4 linked regions of the Oryctolagus cuniculus genome follow. The protein of the gene in region 2 binds, or shares a complex with, the protein of the main gene of each other region. Links are inferred from orthologs where the notes say so. Each region holds a gene or a part of one and is shown on either strand. Other genes may lie near its edges.

Region 1 (4,277 bases), on a different chromosome or scaffold from region 2:
AAGTACTGAGCTTAAAATATTTCAAGCTGTTCATATTTGACAAAAACAAAAAAACAAACAAACAAAAAAAACAATGTGAGGTGCCTAAAAAGACCATTGAGTTCTTCCTTGATTAAAGGGGAAGCATGGCAACTGTCCTTGGCTTGGGAGTTAAATCCATATCAAATCTCCATTTGGTTCTGTCATTTACTGTCTTTGTGACTATGGGAAAGTAACTCATTTTCTGCAAGCTTGGTTCCTAACTTAGAATACAGAACCCTCTTCCCAGGGTTATACTGAAAAAATGAATAATGATGTAATACATATAAAGAATCTGGTATATGATATACATTTAGTAAATGGTAAACTCTAGAACTGTGGCCATAGTTGTCACTAAGAAGTCACTGATAAAATTTTAAGTGTTCAAAACAGAACTGCAGAATAGGAAATTAACTCGAAATGATTAGATTATAAACTAACTGTGCCCTTGGGTTTTTTTGAAAGCAGCAATCACAGCATAAATTACAAACCATAGGATAAATTCCTTTGATCAAATTCCAAATACAAATATGTCACAGGAAGTTTTGTCTTTGAAACATAAGGTGGAGTAACAACTGAGAAATATCTTCAAGGAACAGACTGAGGACATATAAAACAGGGGACTTCAAAAGGTTCATACAAAATTCATGTTATCTTTTTAAAAAAATTTATCTACTAGGCACAGAGACAGACAGTGATCTCCCATCCGCTGGTTCACTCCCCATATGCCAACAATAGCAGGCTGGAATAAGCTGAAGCCAGTAGACAGGAACTCAAAACAGGTCTCCCTCATGAGTGGCAAAGACCTAATTACTTGAGCCAACACCACAGCCTCCCAGTCTGCATTAGTAAAAATGCTGGCTGGAGTCAGGACCCATAGCTGGGACTCCAATATGGAACACCAGTGTTTCAATTAGTCTCTTATCCTTGGTGCCAAATGCCCGCCGCTGCATTATCATTTAGGCCTATTTTCCATGAGATTTTGAAGTGTTCTTTTTATATAAATTCAGAGTCAATCATCATTATTTGCCAAAGACAGAGGTCATTACAACCTTTGAATATTCAAAGGATACTAAGATCATAAAAAGCTCAAATGTTCATATAGATGTATCTAAATCATTAAAAATTTCTGATTAAAAATATACAAAGCTTCAAATGATTATTATGATTCATCTGGTGAATGTCAGGACAATAGCACTGAATGGTGAAAGAAACAAAAATAGAAGACAAATTTAATACACAAACCTGCAGATTAGACTATAAGCTCTCTGAAGGCAAAAGCTATTCTTCCCTCAAAAGCCTTGTAGGTAACACAGAATCAACGTTTATTAGTGAAGAACATAGGGACTGGCAGCAGAGAGACAGCAATAAGGAGACAGGTGTACCTTGGTGTCTGGGTGTTAGACATCGGAGGCTTTAGTAAACATTTACAACCACCAAGCCCACAAAGCCAAGCAGAGAAGGAAAATGCCAGACTTACCACGATCATTCTCCCATCGGAAGTAATAACAGCTACCGTTCCTGATAACTGAATCAAGGAAAGCTTGGAGAAGGCAAATTGAGCACTTAAGACTCTGGTAAGGAAACAGTTTGAATACTACAGAAAAGGTAACACATCTAAGATTCAAGATGGCCACTGCGTGAAAACTTAAGATCATTTCTAATGTCTTTAACTCCGACTCTGTGATAATTATGCAATTAAAAAGGGGAGAGAAATAGCCTCTTTCTCCTTGTGATCAGTGTCTCCTGTATCAGAACAGCCACTTTTCTGCTAAGAATGCTGCCTAATAAATCTCTGATGTAAGCAGGACATTTCCTCCTTTCTTAGGCCTATTCTCTCTCAAATGAAAATTGGGTGAGTGCTAAATTAATTAATGTTCATTTCAGGCACGTTAAGACACCGTCTCCCAGGGCCTGTATCCTGGCATTCCAACGAAATCTATACTCAGTGCCATAAGGTACCAATAACACTTGCATCATGAGACGCCTTCAGTCCTGAACTTCTGTTTCCAATTTTGAACGAGAGCACACCGTAATATTTTTGCCCTGAGACTTCAAAACGGCAACATTTTAAACGATACTTTTAAGATTAAAAAAATAAATAAAAACTACCGCCCCTCACTCTAATCCAACAACAAATGTGACTTCATTTTATCAACAATTAGAAACGCCAAGCCTACGAATGAAGCAAGTACAGTGCAAAGATCTGCAACACGCTCGTTGCCGCAACCGTTCACCTCATCCCCAAACTTGCACACACAGGCCAATCAATCAATCAATCAGAGGATCTATCAATCAGGGAAAAGTTGGCCACAATGACATTCGGGTCGGTCTGTGTCTCTCTCAGTGTAAAATCGCCAGGCGTCCCGAGCCCGCTGGAACGCCGGGAGGGGAGCCGGGAGGGGGTCGGCTGCTCCGGAGGCTTCACCCGCTCACTCTCACCCCGGGTCCCGCCGTGGCCGGGATCCCACCCGCCCGCCGAGCCCGACCCCCGCCGCTCTCGCACCCGCCCCGCTGTGCCCGGCCAACGCTCACGGCAGGCGACCGGAGGATACGGTTTATGTAGTTTTCCAAAGCGGACGTCATGCTGCTCGGCCCGGAGGTTCCGGGGCAACAGAGCGGCGCCGGCGACAATTAGAGCTAAAAGGGCCCGCCAGAAACACGAAGCGGCTCGTTCCCGTTGGCGGAAACAAATATCGCGAGAATTGCGGCACCGTGGGCCCCCGCAAGTCGGAACTTGGAAGGAATAGGCCAATTCAACGGCAGGAGGCGGTGACGAGTTTCTGCGCGTGCGTAGTGGGTTTCCGCTGGTCTTCCGGCCGGTGATCCGGAAGCGGGGAGAGACAAAAGCCTGGGGGTGGTGGAAGAGCGTGAGCCGCTTCCTAGGAGCGGTGGGCGGCGTGAAGCGGGAGAGCGAGTGTACTAGCCGAGGGGAAGGCTGTGGGCAAGTCGTGTGGCTTCAGAACGCGCAGGAGGAGATGGAGTAAGGTGTTGTCTTTAGGAGGAAATGGAGGAAGCGTACGGACAGGGACGTGGACTCCCCTGTGCTGTAGCACGGGCCGAAAAGTAAACTAAACTGAAGAAGCTCCTGGCCCAAGACCAAGTTAGCAGTGTAACCACAGATGTTACCTCCGGAGAACCCGGCCGTGAAAAGCGGCGGTGCTGGCCCCTTGAGGAACCTAAATGCGAATGGGGAAAGGTGTGTGCGCTGCCCAGGCAAACGGCCGCAGCTTGGGCCGCACCGCGGTGCGAGGTGTCCTTGCCTCTGCTGACATCTGTCTTTAGAGGACTGATGGGGGTCGTAGGTGAGCACCAGACCAGGTGCTGGCTCACACCCTGGTAACCGATTGTGGCCCTGCACGACTCCTGTCACCGCCTCTGGGCCTCGGTTTCCTTAGACCCTGCCGGGATCGTTTTGGATATTTCTGGATGGTACTAGAAAACGTCACTCTTACCCCATTATTTCACTGTGGTAACTGATGAGGTCTGTACGCAAGAGACTTCCGCTGTGTACAAGGAGTCTCTGATTTTAATTAGTCTTGTCTTGAACGGGAGAACTGTGGCCTGAGGTAACTTGCAGTGTCAGCAGTTTTCCCCTGGAAAGTGAAGCATTTATCTGTTCATTAAATCATGCCCACAAAAGTACGGACAAGGTCACTCCCAAATATTTTTATGCACTCATAAACCACAAATGTTCTTCATATACCCTGGGAAACAAATTACTATCTTCCAAAAATGGGAGGGAAAAAAAAAGATAGTGTGTGATTTGCAAATACTAGGCTTTGAAATAAAAAAGTAATTGATGGTAAATGAGGTCTTGTTAGTAAGTTCCTTTTTAGAAATAGCCTGTGTGTCACCTTTTTACAATGAATGTAGCTTTGTATTTCCTAAGAGTGTTCTTACGTTTTGAAAATGTTTATTGACATAAAATAACTTAATGGAACTAATTTCATCATAAATACATTATAAGGCTATAACATTGTGTTTTCCATTAAATTAATTTAGGAGGATAGCAGATACAGTGTTTGGGGAAGCATCACAAAATCTCTGGGTTAAATTTTTTAATTTGTGTCTTTAAACTACTGTACTTTCTATGATGCCTAAAGATAGCAGTTGTGGAGGTAAAGCCTATGAATAGGCAAAATCTATTTATTAAGACATAAAAAATGAGTTACATCTGGATGTAAAGGTTGCATATTAGATTTATCTTAATTAGCCTCGTGACCATGGCTGTATATGAACATAGAGTTTGGTGTCAC
Region 2 (3,509 bases):
TTAATGCGTAAGAATGACAAACAGGGCTAGTGTTCTGGCCTAACAGCATAAGCCATTGCCTACAATGCCAGCTTCCCATATGGGCATGGTTCAAGTCCCAGCTGCTCCATTTCCAATCCAGCTTCCTGCTAATGAGTTTTGGAAACCGCGGGGAAGATGGCAGCATCTTTGGGCCCCTGCACCCACGTGGGAGACCTGGATGTAGCTTTTGGCTTCTGCCTGGCCCAGGCCCTGGCTGTTGTGGTCATATAAGAGAACCAACAGATAAAGATCTCTTTCTCTCTTCCCTTCTCTCTCTGTAACTCTGACTTTCAAATAAAATAAATCTTTGGGAAAAAAAAAAAAAGACAAAAATACTGATATACAGAGGAAGTCCATTCTACAAAGTGAGGAAACTGTGAGTAAAGCCACAAAGTCAGATGAACATCAGGTTCTGGATATTAGTATCCTGGAACTACAGGCGGAAACAGGCTGGAAATATAAAGGAAGAGAAACTACGGCTGGACAGGTGCAGCCCAGTCAGACAGCAAACATCTAGGAAGCCAAAGAAGAGTTAATTCAGCAAGAAGGAGGATGTGCCAGACTTTAGGGCAGTGAAGAAGTGAAAATGATGCTTTAATTATCTTTAGAAAGATAATTTTTGGTAGCAATGTTCAAGATAGATTATATAGCTGCCGGTTCTCCAGTCTTGGCTGCTCCACTTCTAATCCAGTTCCCTGCTAATGTGCATGAAAAGGCAGCATATCATGGCCCAAGTGCTTGGGACTCTGCCACCTATGTGGGAGGCCCAGATGGAGTTCCTGGCTCCTGGTTCAGCCTGGCCCAGCCCTGGCCATTGCAGCCACTTGGGGAGTGAACCAGCAGATGGGAGCTTGTTCTCTCTTTGCAATTCTTTCAAATAAATGAATGAATAAATAACATGTTCTCCGTCTTTCAATAGAGAAAAGCAGTATACAACTCTCCCGTCCCCCACCTAGAATAAGAGGCAGCCATGTTCTACAGTCTCTCCATCCTTTAACCTGCTCACCTGCCCCAGACGTTTCTGTCCCGCCCACACGGATGTGTGGATTATCTTGAGGAATAGCTGCCCTGTACGTGGGTTGAAGATGAAGATGGCCCCATTGATGGGTTTGGTTGTCAAGTTCCCCTCAAATGTCTAAAGAAAGAATACATTGGTTAGTATGGTCATCTGCTTGCCTTCATCCCACTTACTCGGTTACCCTCCCAAGGGCAGAAGCAAAGCCCCACACCCTTTAGTGCACCTGACACTCACCTTGTGGATTGTCACTCTGTAGACATTAGTGTCATCCACAAACCAGATAATCTGGTTGGAGAAGAGCTCACCATAATTCTGAGAGGACAGATAAGGCTCAGTGGGCTCAGATGAATAGAGCTGCAATCCCTTGCGGATTCGTTCACGTAACACATACAAGGCTGGGTTGGCCTTCATGATCTTGGCCATGGCCTGCTGTATGAGGGGCTTGCTGCCTGGGAACCAGTTTCCATAGGCACTGTGAGGGTGCACAGGGCAAGAAAAGTTAAGCTCAGGCTGAAAGCCCCAAGACAAGGCAAATGCAACTTTATAGAAGGAGGAAGACTGCTAGTTGGGCTGCCAGTAATCTCATGTGGGGGCCGGTGCTGTGATGCAGCAGGTTAAGCTGCCGCCCACTGGGTGCCAACATCCTATGTGGGCACCAGTTCAAATTCCAGATGTTCCACTTCTGATCCACCTCCGTGCCAATGCACCTGGGACAGCAGTGGAAGATGGCTCAAGTAGCTGGGCCCCTGTCTGGGAGATCCTGGCTTCTGTCTGGCCCAGCTTCTGTCTGGCTGTTGAGGCCATCTGGGGAGTAAATCAGTATATAGCAGATATCTCTATATCTCCCTCTCTCTGTAATGGTGCCTTTCAAATAAATAAATCTTTCGCCGGTGCTGTGGCTCAATAGGATAATCCTCCGCCTGTGGCGCCAGCACACCGGGTTCTAGTCCCGGTCAGGGTGCCGGATTCTGTCCCAGTTGCCCCTCTTCCAGGCCAGCTCTCTGCTGTGGCCCGGGAAGGCAGTGGAGGATGGCCCAAGTGCTTGGGCCCTGCACCCCATGGGAGACCAGGAGAAGCATCTGGCTCCTGCCTTTGGATCAGCACAGTGTGCCGGCCACAGCATGCCGGCCGTGGCAGCCATTGGAGGGTGAACCAACAGCAAAAGGAAGACCTTTCTCTCTGTCTCTCTCTCTCTCTCACTGTCCACGCTTCCTGTCCAAAAAAAAAAAAAAAAAAAAAAAAAAAAAAAAAAAAAAAAAAAATCTTTCAAACAAATAAACACACAAAAAACTCTGCTCATGTAAATGTATCCCAAAAGAAGAGTCAGTGACCCAGAGGAAATGGCCAACCTCATCTTCTTGAAGCAAACTGAAAAAGCACATCTACATTAAAGTATGGGGCTGATGGAAAACAGATGTGTCTGAGCCCCAACTCACCTGTGCAGGTTATAGGCCAGGTCAATGGCAATGAGCACACCTGTGGGTGAAGGGTAAATACTCATGTTGTCTGTGGTGTAGTCCAGAAACTTGGCCCGTGCATAGCGCTCAATGTCATGGGAATCGTAGTCCCCCCAGCGCAACTGGATGTCAATCCAATACTTCTGAGTGGTGGTGCTGTCCATCACATCCCTGAGGGTAGAGAGGCGTCAGGTTCTCAGGAAGCCATGGGTGTAACCCATGTTCCCAGAACCACTAGAACTCCCAACCACTACCCCTATATCCTAAAACCATCCTTGCTCTATTCCAGATCAGCAAGCTTCCCAGAGAATGGGCAGATCTGATGGAAGGTGTTGACAGGGGCCAAGACCATCACTGACTCCAAGTTTGGAAGAAGGACAGCCAAGGGATAGTTTCTAGACCAGTATTACTAAAGGGACAGTGAAATGAAGGTTCCTGAATGCCTAGGTTTGGGCCATGAGGCACGCACTTGGAGTCTGCCAGCAACGAAGGCCGGGAGACATTCCACTTATACGAGGCAAAGAGCAGTATATCTGCACAGGAAGAGTTCATCTTATAGGACTTTCGAGGATGAATCGTCTCCTTCTGTACTGTCTCAATTTCCAGCGCATCCAGTTCTTGGTCAAACACCTGAAGGCAAAAGCAGAAAGGCTGTGATGCATTTTGGAAGCCACTCAGAATGAAGCTCTGTAGAATCTAAGACAACCAAGTAACGGGACTCTCATCCCAGAGCATCCTCAGCAGATTTCCCATATACAAGAGAGCAAGCCGACCCACCTGACACAAGTCCATGACAATGCTTTCATGGATCTTCTGCCACAGGTGAGCTCGGAATATCTGGATGAGGGAGATCTTCAGGGTGGGGATCTTGCCATGCATGAAGATACCTGTCAGGTCCAGCTGCACCTGAAAGCCTACGTACACCTGCCAGGAAAACGAACGTGACACTAGAGCTCGAGCCTTTGGCTCGCAGGACATAACTAAGGCAGTGGAAACACTTGTAACTTCCCTTG
Region 3 (4,169 bases), on a different chromosome or scaffold from region 2:
AAGCAGAAACAAATACATTCCATTTGATTTTTAACCCTAACTCAGTAGTTATCAAAGGATCAATGAGGGCTGGTGTTGTGGTTAAGCCTCCACCTGTGACACTGGCATCCCATATAGTCGCTGGTTCGAGACCTGGCTGCTGCACTTCCAATCCCACTCCCTGCTAATGGGTCTGGGAAAGTAGCAGAGGATGGCCCAAGTGCTTGGGCCCCTTCACCAACATGGGAGACCCAGAAGAAGCTCCTGGCTCCTGGCTTCAGCCTGGCCCAGCCTGGCCCAGCCCCAGCCATTGTGGCCATTTGGGAAGTGAACCAGTGGATGGAAGATCTCTTTCTCTCTCTTTCTCCTTTTCTCTCTCTCTGCCTTTCAAATAAATAAAAAAAATGAATCTTAGAAAAAAAAAATCAATGAAACCTGTGGAAGAAACAAACTCTAAAAATTACTTCTAGCTTCCTTTTGAGCAAATCAATAAAGACTGGCATATAACATTAAAACAAGACTAGGGTAGGGGCAGGAGTTTGGTGTGGTGGCTTGGGACACCCATGTGTTCGTCAAGTCCCAGCTCTACTTCCAATCCCAGGGGATGATGGCTCAAGGATTTGGGTCCCTGTCATCCACATGAGACCTCAATTGAGTTTTAGGCTCCTGGCTTTGGCCTGGCCCAGCCCCAGCTACAGTGGGCATTTTGGAAATGAACTAGCAAATGGACGATCTCTGTCTCTATGGTTTTTTTTCTGCCTTTCAAATAAAAATAAATAAATGAATTTAAAACAAGACTAAAGGGCAGGTGTTTGCTGTAGTAGGTAAGACCCTGCTTGCAGGGCAGGTATTGTGTGCTACAGCAGGTTAAGTCACTGCTTGAGACATCTGCATCCTGTATCAGAGCACCAGTTTGAGTCCCAAATACTCCCCTTCCAATAACAGCCCTTTGCAACATGCCTGGAAAGCAGCAGATGATGGCTCAAGTGCTTGAGTTCTTGCCACCCACATGAGAGACCTGGATGAAGTTCTTGGCTCCTGGATTCAGTGGTGGCCCAGCCCCAGCCCCTGCTTTTGTGACATTTAGGGAGTGAACGAGTGGATTCAGAAGATCTTTCTGTCAGTCTGCCTTTCAAATAAATAAATGAATCTCTAAAGAAAGAAAGAAAAAGACAAGACCAGCTTGGAATGCCTGGGTTTGAGTCCTGGCTCCACTCTTCATTCCAGCTTCCTGATAACTGCACATTTTGGTAGGTTGCAGGTGATGGCTTGAGTACTTGGACCCCTACCATGCACTTGAGTCCATTCTCCAAATGCCCACAATAGTCAGGACTGGACCACACCAAAGCCAGGGGCCAGGAGCTCTATCCAAGGTGCCCACACGGGTCTCAAAGACCCAAGTACTTGAGCCATCATCTACTGCCTCCCAAGATACGCAACAGCAAGGTGGACTGGAAGCAGGGGCGAGACTCAAACACAGGCACTCCAGTATGGCACACACATGTCTCAAGCGGCAGCTTAAGCTACTGCAGGACAGCACAGTGCAAATTCTCCATTGCATTCTACAGGATCTCTGTGAGAAGTCGTGATGAAAGTACTCTCTCAGCTTGGGAAAAAAAAATGCCCTCACTTTAGATGTTCTCTTCTCAATCCCTTTTTACCTGTACCCTACTTTTTAATTCATCACAGAAAATAGTATTATAAAGGACTCTCCCACACAAATCTTTGTATTCAATGCAAGTTAGTATAAAATGTCACCATTAATCATGTCTATATTTTAATCTAATCCCTAACTCTCCAAATTCCTCAGGAGCACAAAGATTTTATTTCTAATGTTCTTCACAGTGCCTAACAGATGGTCAATAAATGGTACAGACCCCTACTCCCAAGCTAATCCCATCATTCACAAGCCCTTGGGCAAATTAATTCCCATAAGCCCCTGTTTACTCAAATACTAAGTGTCAAGCAATGTAGAAGGTGCTGATACAAACAGCAGAGAACAAAATACAATCACCCTGGCTGTAACAAGGGCCTACATTCCACGAAAACTCCATCACAGGCCAGAAAGAGTAAGCAATTTGAAAACCAAAGCAATAAACGGAAGAATCTTTATTTTCAGATGAAATGTGTGCCCAAGCGCTGTACTAACAAAAGTGTATTCAAGTTCAACCTAATTCCCTCTGAGATGTTAAAAAAAAAAAAAAAGTTTCCAACAGCAGCCTTTGCTACTGACCCAATGCTCCATAATAACGGCTGGTGGGAGTGGGGGCGGGGAGAGCTGGCGTGCAGAAAGGGAGGCAGGCAGAATGACTGCTCAATGAGCAGGCAGCAGAATCCAATCTTCTTAAAGGATTCCCTACTCTACGCTCTCCTTTGCTGCAACCCGAGTGCTCCCAGGAGCCCCCCTCCTCCTGTTTTTACTCTCGCTCTCTCTCTCACCGGCCTCCTCCCTCACCTTGTTCTGTCCAAACTCCTCACCCCAGAGCTGCTCTCCCCAGCCTGTCCCCGTCCCGCCCCCGCCCTTTTCCTCTCAACAATCTCATTCCAATCCGTTCTCTCCCGAACCGTGTGCTTCTCTCAGCATCCTTCCCGCTGGACCCTTCACCCTGTTCCTCCCCTCGGACTCAGCCCCGGCCCCAGCCGCTCCGACGGGAAGACACCCTCCCCGGGCCCGGGGCCACTACTCACCTCACAAACTTCAGCCCCTGAGACGGAGCCCGAACGTTACACCGGAACCGGAAACCTTCTGACCGCCCTACGGCCTGCCGTCGCTACCGCCACGGCCGCCGCCACGCTGCGGTCCCCTGACACGTGACCAGGGAGGGGGCGGGCCGTCGATTTGCGCAGCCGCAGTTGCCGCTCTGGCGACAGCGGAGCGCATGCGTGGCACAGCCCTAAGGTTTCCCCGTCCAAGTTGCTGCTGGCCTTCGGTTTCTACAGGGAAAAAAGATTACGAAGTTGGCGTAACTTTAGGTGGTTTTCAGTTTAAAAAAAAACGCAAACAAAACAATTTTTAGTTTTCTTCGTGTGGCGGATAAACGCTCTAAAGTTACAGGACTAAAAGGAGGACTTGTTTGTGCGTGCTGAAACGTGGCCTTTCTGGTAGAAAGTAAACCCTCTCGGAGTCCTGATCATCAGCTTTAGTCGCCCCCCAGCCTTTTCTAAGTTAACAGTGGGACCGGAGGTCATTCAGGAACAAGACAAGGGTAGGAAGACTCAAGCAAGTAGCTTCTAATACCTTTTTATTGTTAGATTCATTCATTGACGGAACAAATCTTTATCAACTGCCTACTAATGTGTGCTGGCCACTTGAGAGTATTGCTTTAGTGATTGTCGCGAATGCCTGCTGTCACGCAGCTCGACAGGGCTTAAGGGCGAGGTGTCGGAGCACAGGGAGGAAGGAACACATGGACACAAGATTGTCTTTCCAATGAAAGGTTTTTATTGCCCACACAATTTCACACTAGGGCTTGACCACTCTGCATACCAATCTACATTGTTATATTCAGTACTCCACAGATCATAACACACACCTAGCAGTCTCAAAGGCAATCCAACTATAATAATATAAGCACATAACATTATTCTTAATCACAGGGTCAAGGCACATGCCTTCATATTACACACGGCTAATATCATTATAAGTGCTGCGTCCTCAAGGGTCGTATCACGGTCACCAAAAGTCAAAGTCCAAAGTCCAGAGTTCAAAGTCTTCGTTACCACTCGGAGAGATGGATCTCAGGACAGTCAGTTACAGGCAGGAAGTTTGGGGATGGCTGTCACTCTGGGCAGTAGGTTCAGAGGGCAAGGCAAGGAGTTGGAGAGGTCCCCTGCTGAGAGGTCTGGTGTTGGTCTGGCAGCAGCCAATAACGGGTCCGGGTGAGGCGGCCAGGCAGCGGCTCCGCTGGAGTTTGGTCCCGTAATCGCCTTGCGTCACTTAGCAAGGGTGCTAGCAAGCTGGCTCTTCAGCTCCAGATGTGTGGAGATCCAGAGGTTCACACACATCGGGCCATGATCCTCGAGAGCGGTGGAAAAGGCTCTCCTTTATCCTTGCCACTCTGAAGGGGGAGTCTCCAGTAGGGGTCCGGGTGTCACCAATCAGTTGTGCTCCCTCTTGGAGTTTCCCGGGGTGCCACCCATCCGTTGTTTGGGACAGGGCGTATCTGGAGTATTCCTTGGGTGCGGTCACT
Region 4 (4,261 bases), on a different chromosome or scaffold from region 2:
CCGCCTGTGCACCGCGACCTGACAGCAGCCGGGATCCCACCGGGATGGGAGAGGGTCCGCGGAGCCGCTGCCTGCCCCGGGGGTACCAGCACCGGGAAACAGGCTGAAGGAGCAGGGAGGAAGGGGCGTCACTGGGGTCTCTGGGCAATGGCTGCACCCCTGTGCTAAGCACCAGGTGCTGTCCTGGGCCCAGCTTGTGGTGCGGGAGGATTTGCCAGGGCAGGCCGTCAGGAGGGACATGGGGCAGGGCTGTGGACACAGTGTTTCGGGCCAGGGCGACTTCAGTGGGACCGTCTCCCTGCAAAGGCTGCCCAGCAGGCAGGGCCTGCCCTCTGCAAAGGCAGGTCCTGTGTGTGTGTGTGTGTGTGTGGGTCCCTTGTGTGTGCCCAGGTCCCATGTGTGTGCACAGGTCCCATGTGTGTGCACAGATCCCATATGTGTGTCTGCAGGTCCTGTGTGTGTGTGCGTCCTGTGTATGCACAGGTCCCATATGTGTGTCTGCAAGTCCTGTGTGTGTGCATGTGGGTCCCATGTGTGTGCCTGCAGGTCCCGTGTGTGTGCACACAGGTCCTGTGTGTGTGTGCACAGGTCCTGTGTGTGTGTGCATGTAGATCCAGTGTGTGTGTTTGCAGGTCCTATGTGTGTGCACAGGTCCCATATGCGTGCCTATAGGTCTCATGTGTGTGCACAGGTCCTGTGTGTGTGCCTGCAGGTCCCATGTATGTGTGCACAGGTCCCATGTGAGTGCCTGTAGGTCCAGTGTGTGTGCACAGGTCCTGTGTGTGTGCCTGCAGGTCCCATGTGTGTGTGCACAGGTCCCATACGTATGCACACACGCACACAGGTCCCATGTGAGTGCCTGTAGGTCCAGTGTGTGTGTGCATGGGTCCCATATGTGTGTTTGCAGGTCCTGTGTGTGTGCCCAGGTCCCATGTGAGTGCCTGTAGGTCCAGTGTGTGTGCACAGGTCCTTGTGTGTGTGCCCAGATCCCATGTATGTGAATGAAGATCCTGTGTGTGTGTGCACAGGTTCTGTTTATGTGCCCTGGTGCCATGTGTGTATGTGCAGGTCTCGTGTGTGTACATGCAAGTCTTGTGTGTGTGCACACTGATCCTGTGTGTATGTGTGTGTCCAGGTCCCGTGTGTGTGCTCTGGTCCCATGTGTATGTGTGCACAGGTACTATGTGTGTGTGTACACGGGTCTCGTGTGTGTGTGCACTAATCCTGTGTGTGTATGCCCAGGTCCCGTGTGTGCATATGCAGGTCCTGTGCTGCATGCGGGAGGCTCAGAGGCCAGCCCTAGGCAAGGTGTATAGCTCAAGGCTGCCCCTGCCGCCCCTGCCGCCCCTTGCCTGGCTCCCTGGAGTGTGGGTCCTCTGCAGGTAGGAGGCGTGGTGCCTCCAGTCTCTGGACTCCTGCCGGGGGGGGGGGGGCTTGGGGATGTGACTCCCCTCAGGGGTGGGGAGGAGACGGGCACGACAGGGGAGCTGCCTCTCAGGAGCCTGACCAGGGCCCCCGCACACAGCCACCGCCCACTTCAGCTTCTGCCGGACCGTCCTGGAGCACACGGTGTCCGCCGAGAGCATCCCCTGCCACCTGCCTCGAACGCCGGGCACCAGCCTCACGTGGCACGACCCCCGCAGCCAGAGGGCGTGCGGCAGCAGACCCATCAAGCTCCTGCAGCAGCCAGGCACAGAGGCCCCCCAGGTACCCCGCCGCCCGCCCCCGCCCCCCGCGCCCACTACGCCACCCTCACTGCGCCCACCACCCTCCTCTCCCTGCAGGGCCAGCTGTACTCGGACCACTACGGCCTGTACCACACCAGCCCCCCGCTGGGCGGCCTGACGCGGCCCGTGGTGCTGTGGACTCAGCAGGACGTGTGCAAGTGGCTCAAGAAGCACTGTCCCCACAACTACCTCGTCTATGTCGAGGCCTTCTCCCAACACGCCATCACCGGTACGCCGGCTGCTGCCCTCCCGCGCCCCTGGGTGAGTCCCGAGTGTCCCTGTGGGCCTCAGCTTGTCCGCCCCTCTCCCTGCAGGCCGGGCACTGCTGCGGCTGAATGCGGAGAAGCTGCAACGCATGGGGCTGGCGCAGGAGGCCCAGAGGCAGGAGGTGCTACAGCAGGTGCTGCACCTGCAGGTGCGCGAGGAGGGGCGGAGCCTGCAGCTGCTCAGCCAAGGTCTGTGGGAGAGGCTGGGGGCGGGGCTGGGAGGGGTCTCTGAAGGATCTCAGGAGACTGGCTGGAGGGGCCCGGGAAGGGTCCACCCCCATTCGCCCCCATCTACCCCGCAGCTTCCTTCGGAAACATGTCCTAGCTGCTGCTGAGGCTCAAACCCCAGACCAGCACTGTGACTGGAGCCCGTGGCCAGGGACGAAATGGTGCTGGCGGCTCAGCTCCCGGACCCTGTGGACGCCTGGGCAGCAGAGCCCAGTTCTGTGGACAGGCGGGACCAGGACGCTCACCTCCAGGTGCTTCTGGGTGGGCACTCCACGCCGCATCGGGGTTGGGCGCCCTTCCTCCTGGGACCAGAGCACGTGCTGCTGGCCGCGTGTGCAGCAGCTCTCTCGAGCCAGAGATGGCCAGGTGCCTGCAGCGTCACAGCACTGACCCGTCTGCCACCCAGCTGGGATGAACTCCTCAGCCCTCCTAGCTCGGTGCCCCTCCTGTCCCTGCCAGGGCCCGGCAGGCCCAACTCACGGCCCAGAGGAATGGTCATCAGAACCCAGCGGCTGGCTGCCACACCCAGCGCATGCTGAAGCTGGCTCCCTGCTCCGAGTCCGTGAGAACTGAGGCCAGGGGGCATCCACACCCGTGAAGACGAAGCCACCCAATGAGGTGACCTCACGCAGGGGCCTGGGCTCAGTGCTGCTCCTCAGCCGGTGCCTGGGGGACTATTGCGATCCAGCATCTTCTGCCCGGGTCAGTGGCACAGACATTTTCCGTTGTCACTCTCCCGGGAAGATCTGGATTCACAGGAGAGGCTGTCCCAAGGGCCTCGGCCCCACATCTGCCCACAGACGCCAGAGCATCCCCTCCCTGGGTGCAGGGCAGCCCTCTCCCACTCCCCCCCCCCCCGGGCTCTCTCAGGGACAGATGAGGCTGAGCCCAGCCCCTCTGTGTGCCCTGAGCCGGCCTTGGGTGCGAGGTTGGTCATCGCAGCCGCAGGTCCCGAGTGGCATTCGGAAAACTGGCCTGGCACCTCCGTCCTGTGCCATGACCCCCAGCTGCCCGTGTCCCTGTCCCCGACCACCCTGTGCTATAGGTCTTTCCCCAGGGAGCCCTTCCTGCCGCCACCCATCCTCCTGCCTCTGTCTTGCCCACCCCGTGCCCCTGTCTTGTCTTGTCTTGCGTTCACTTTTTTATACTCTGACAAAGAGAAGAAAAAAACAAACAAATAAACGTGGTTCTCAAGTGCCTGCTGCACTGGGTGTGGGGGGGGGGGGCGGCATGCCTGGCTGCCTGCAGGCCGCGCCACCAGGGGGCAGTGGAGCTGCGTTCTGAAGAGGCCTCCCCCAAGGCGGAGGCCACAGCCGGGGCGCCCCACGGGGGGTCCTGGGGCTGCTGTCCCGGGATGGGGCCTTTGCCTTCTCTGAGGCCAGAGGCCAACCCCAGTGGGGCCTCCAAGCCCCTTCGGGTTTCTGGTGCCTGCCTGTTGGCCCTGGCTCCCTCTCATCTCCCCAGGCAGGGACTCTGTGTGCAACCCTCCTCCAAAGAAGGCCTCCCCTGTAGGGTCGGGGCTCCAGCCTCCCACACAGGGCAGGGTCGGGACACAACACCCCAGCCTCACGGTATGGCCACCCAGGCACACGAGGGCACCGGGCCGTTCATTCGCCAGCCCTGGGCAGGCACTGGCAATGAAGTCTCGCCCCAGGGGACCCAGGCCAGCCCCTCCCCCGAGGTCCTGGTGAACCTGAGTTCTGCCCCCAGGCTGGGCAGGGGGTGCTGAAGCAGAGGGCCTGAGAGAGGGCTATGCACCTGTCTCTACCTCCCGCGCAGCAGTGTCCAACGGGGTGCAGAGGTCCATGAGCTTTCCTGGGGCGTCTGAAACTCAGCAGATGCAGCAGCACACACAGCAGAAGCCTGTGGACGCTGTGGCCCACACAGGGTCCACCCCAGGGTTCCTCTCTCCCAGCCCTGCAGGATGGCTGCGTCAGGGAGGGGGCAGGGCCTTGGGGCACCTGCAGGCCGCTGCCCACCACGCTCTGCCTCATCTATGCCCAAGCCTGAGGGGCCGGGCCCCTCGCCCCAGACCTGACA

What was found. Proteins that work in one complex are often made in the same cells at the same time.
Region 1: PRPF8 (region 2) and LSM8 share a complex: the UniProt entries of both Homo sapiens proteins name them as parts of the U4/U6-U5 tri-snRNP complex. The link is inferred for Oryctolagus cuniculus from reciprocal best matches to the Homo sapiens genes PRPF8 and LSM8.
Region 3: PRPF8 (region 2) and PRPF3 share a complex: the UniProt entries of both Homo sapiens proteins name them as parts of the U4/U6-U5 tri-snRNP complex. The link is inferred for Oryctolagus cuniculus from reciprocal best matches to the Homo sapiens genes PRPF8 and PRPF3.
Region 4: PRPF8 (region 2) and PRPF6 share a complex: the UniProt entries of both Homo sapiens proteins name them as parts of the U4/U6-U5 tri-snRNP complex. The link is inferred for Oryctolagus cuniculus from reciprocal best matches to the Homo sapiens genes PRPF8 and PRPF6.

What each region holds. Positions count from the first base shown.
Region 1 is NC_091434.1:153,846,747-153,851,023, reverse strand, and holds the start of LSM8 (LSM8 homolog, U6 small nuclear RNA associated), read right to left. Parts: upstream 2,808-4,277; 5' UTR 2,605-2,807; coding exon 2,574-2,604; intron 1,540-2,573; coding exon 1,499-1,539; intron 1-1,498. UniProt on the Homo sapiens protein: Plays a role in pre-mRNA splicing as component of the U4/U6-U5 tri-snRNP complex that is involved in spliceosome assembly, and as component of the precatalytic spliceosome (spliceosome B complex).
Region 2 is NC_091448.1:47,183,764-47,187,272, forward strand, and holds part of PRPF8 (pre-mRNA-processing-splicing factor 8), read right to left. Parts: intron 3,421-3,509; coding exon 3,274-3,420; intron 3,127-3,273; coding exon 2,966-3,126; intron 2,668-2,965; coding exon 2,476-2,667; intron 1,512-2,475; coding exon 1,274-1,511; intron 1,157-1,273; coding exon 1,028-1,156; intron 1-1,027. UniProt on the Homo sapiens protein: Plays a role in pre-mRNA splicing as core component of precatalytic, catalytic and postcatalytic spliceosomal complexes, both of the predominant U2-type spliceosome and the minor U12-type spliceosome.
Region 3 is NC_091438.1:47,654,638-47,658,806, forward strand, and holds the start of PRPF3 (U4/U6 small nuclear ribonucleoprotein Prp3), read right to left. Parts: upstream 2,808-4,169; 5' UTR 2,668-2,807; intron 1,132-2,667; exon of another isoform or gene 940-1,131; intron 1-939. UniProt on the Homo sapiens protein: Plays a role in pre-mRNA splicing as component of the U4/U6-U5 tri-snRNP complex that is involved in spliceosome assembly, and as component of the precatalytic spliceosome (spliceosome B complex).
Region 4 is NC_091442.1:205,095-209,355, forward strand, and holds the start of PRPF6 (pre-mRNA-processing factor 6), read right to left. Parts: upstream 2,808-4,261; coding exon 2,467-2,807; exon of another isoform or gene 2,319-2,466; coding exon of another isoform or gene 2,296-2,318; intron 2,183-2,295; coding exon of another isoform or gene 2,042-2,182; intron 1,957-2,041; coding exon of another isoform or gene 1,785-1,956; intron 1,708-1,784; coding exon of another isoform or gene 1,526-1,707; intron 1,309-1,525; coding exon of another isoform or gene 1,243-1,308; intron 1-1,242. Other genes in the region: SAMD10 (sterile alpha motif domain-containing protein 10), read left to right, coding at 1,243-1,308, 1,526-1,707, 1,785-1,956, 2,042-2,182, 2,296-2,318. UniProt on the Homo sapiens protein: Involved in pre-mRNA splicing as component of the U4/U6-U5 tri-snRNP complex, one of the building blocks of the spliceosome.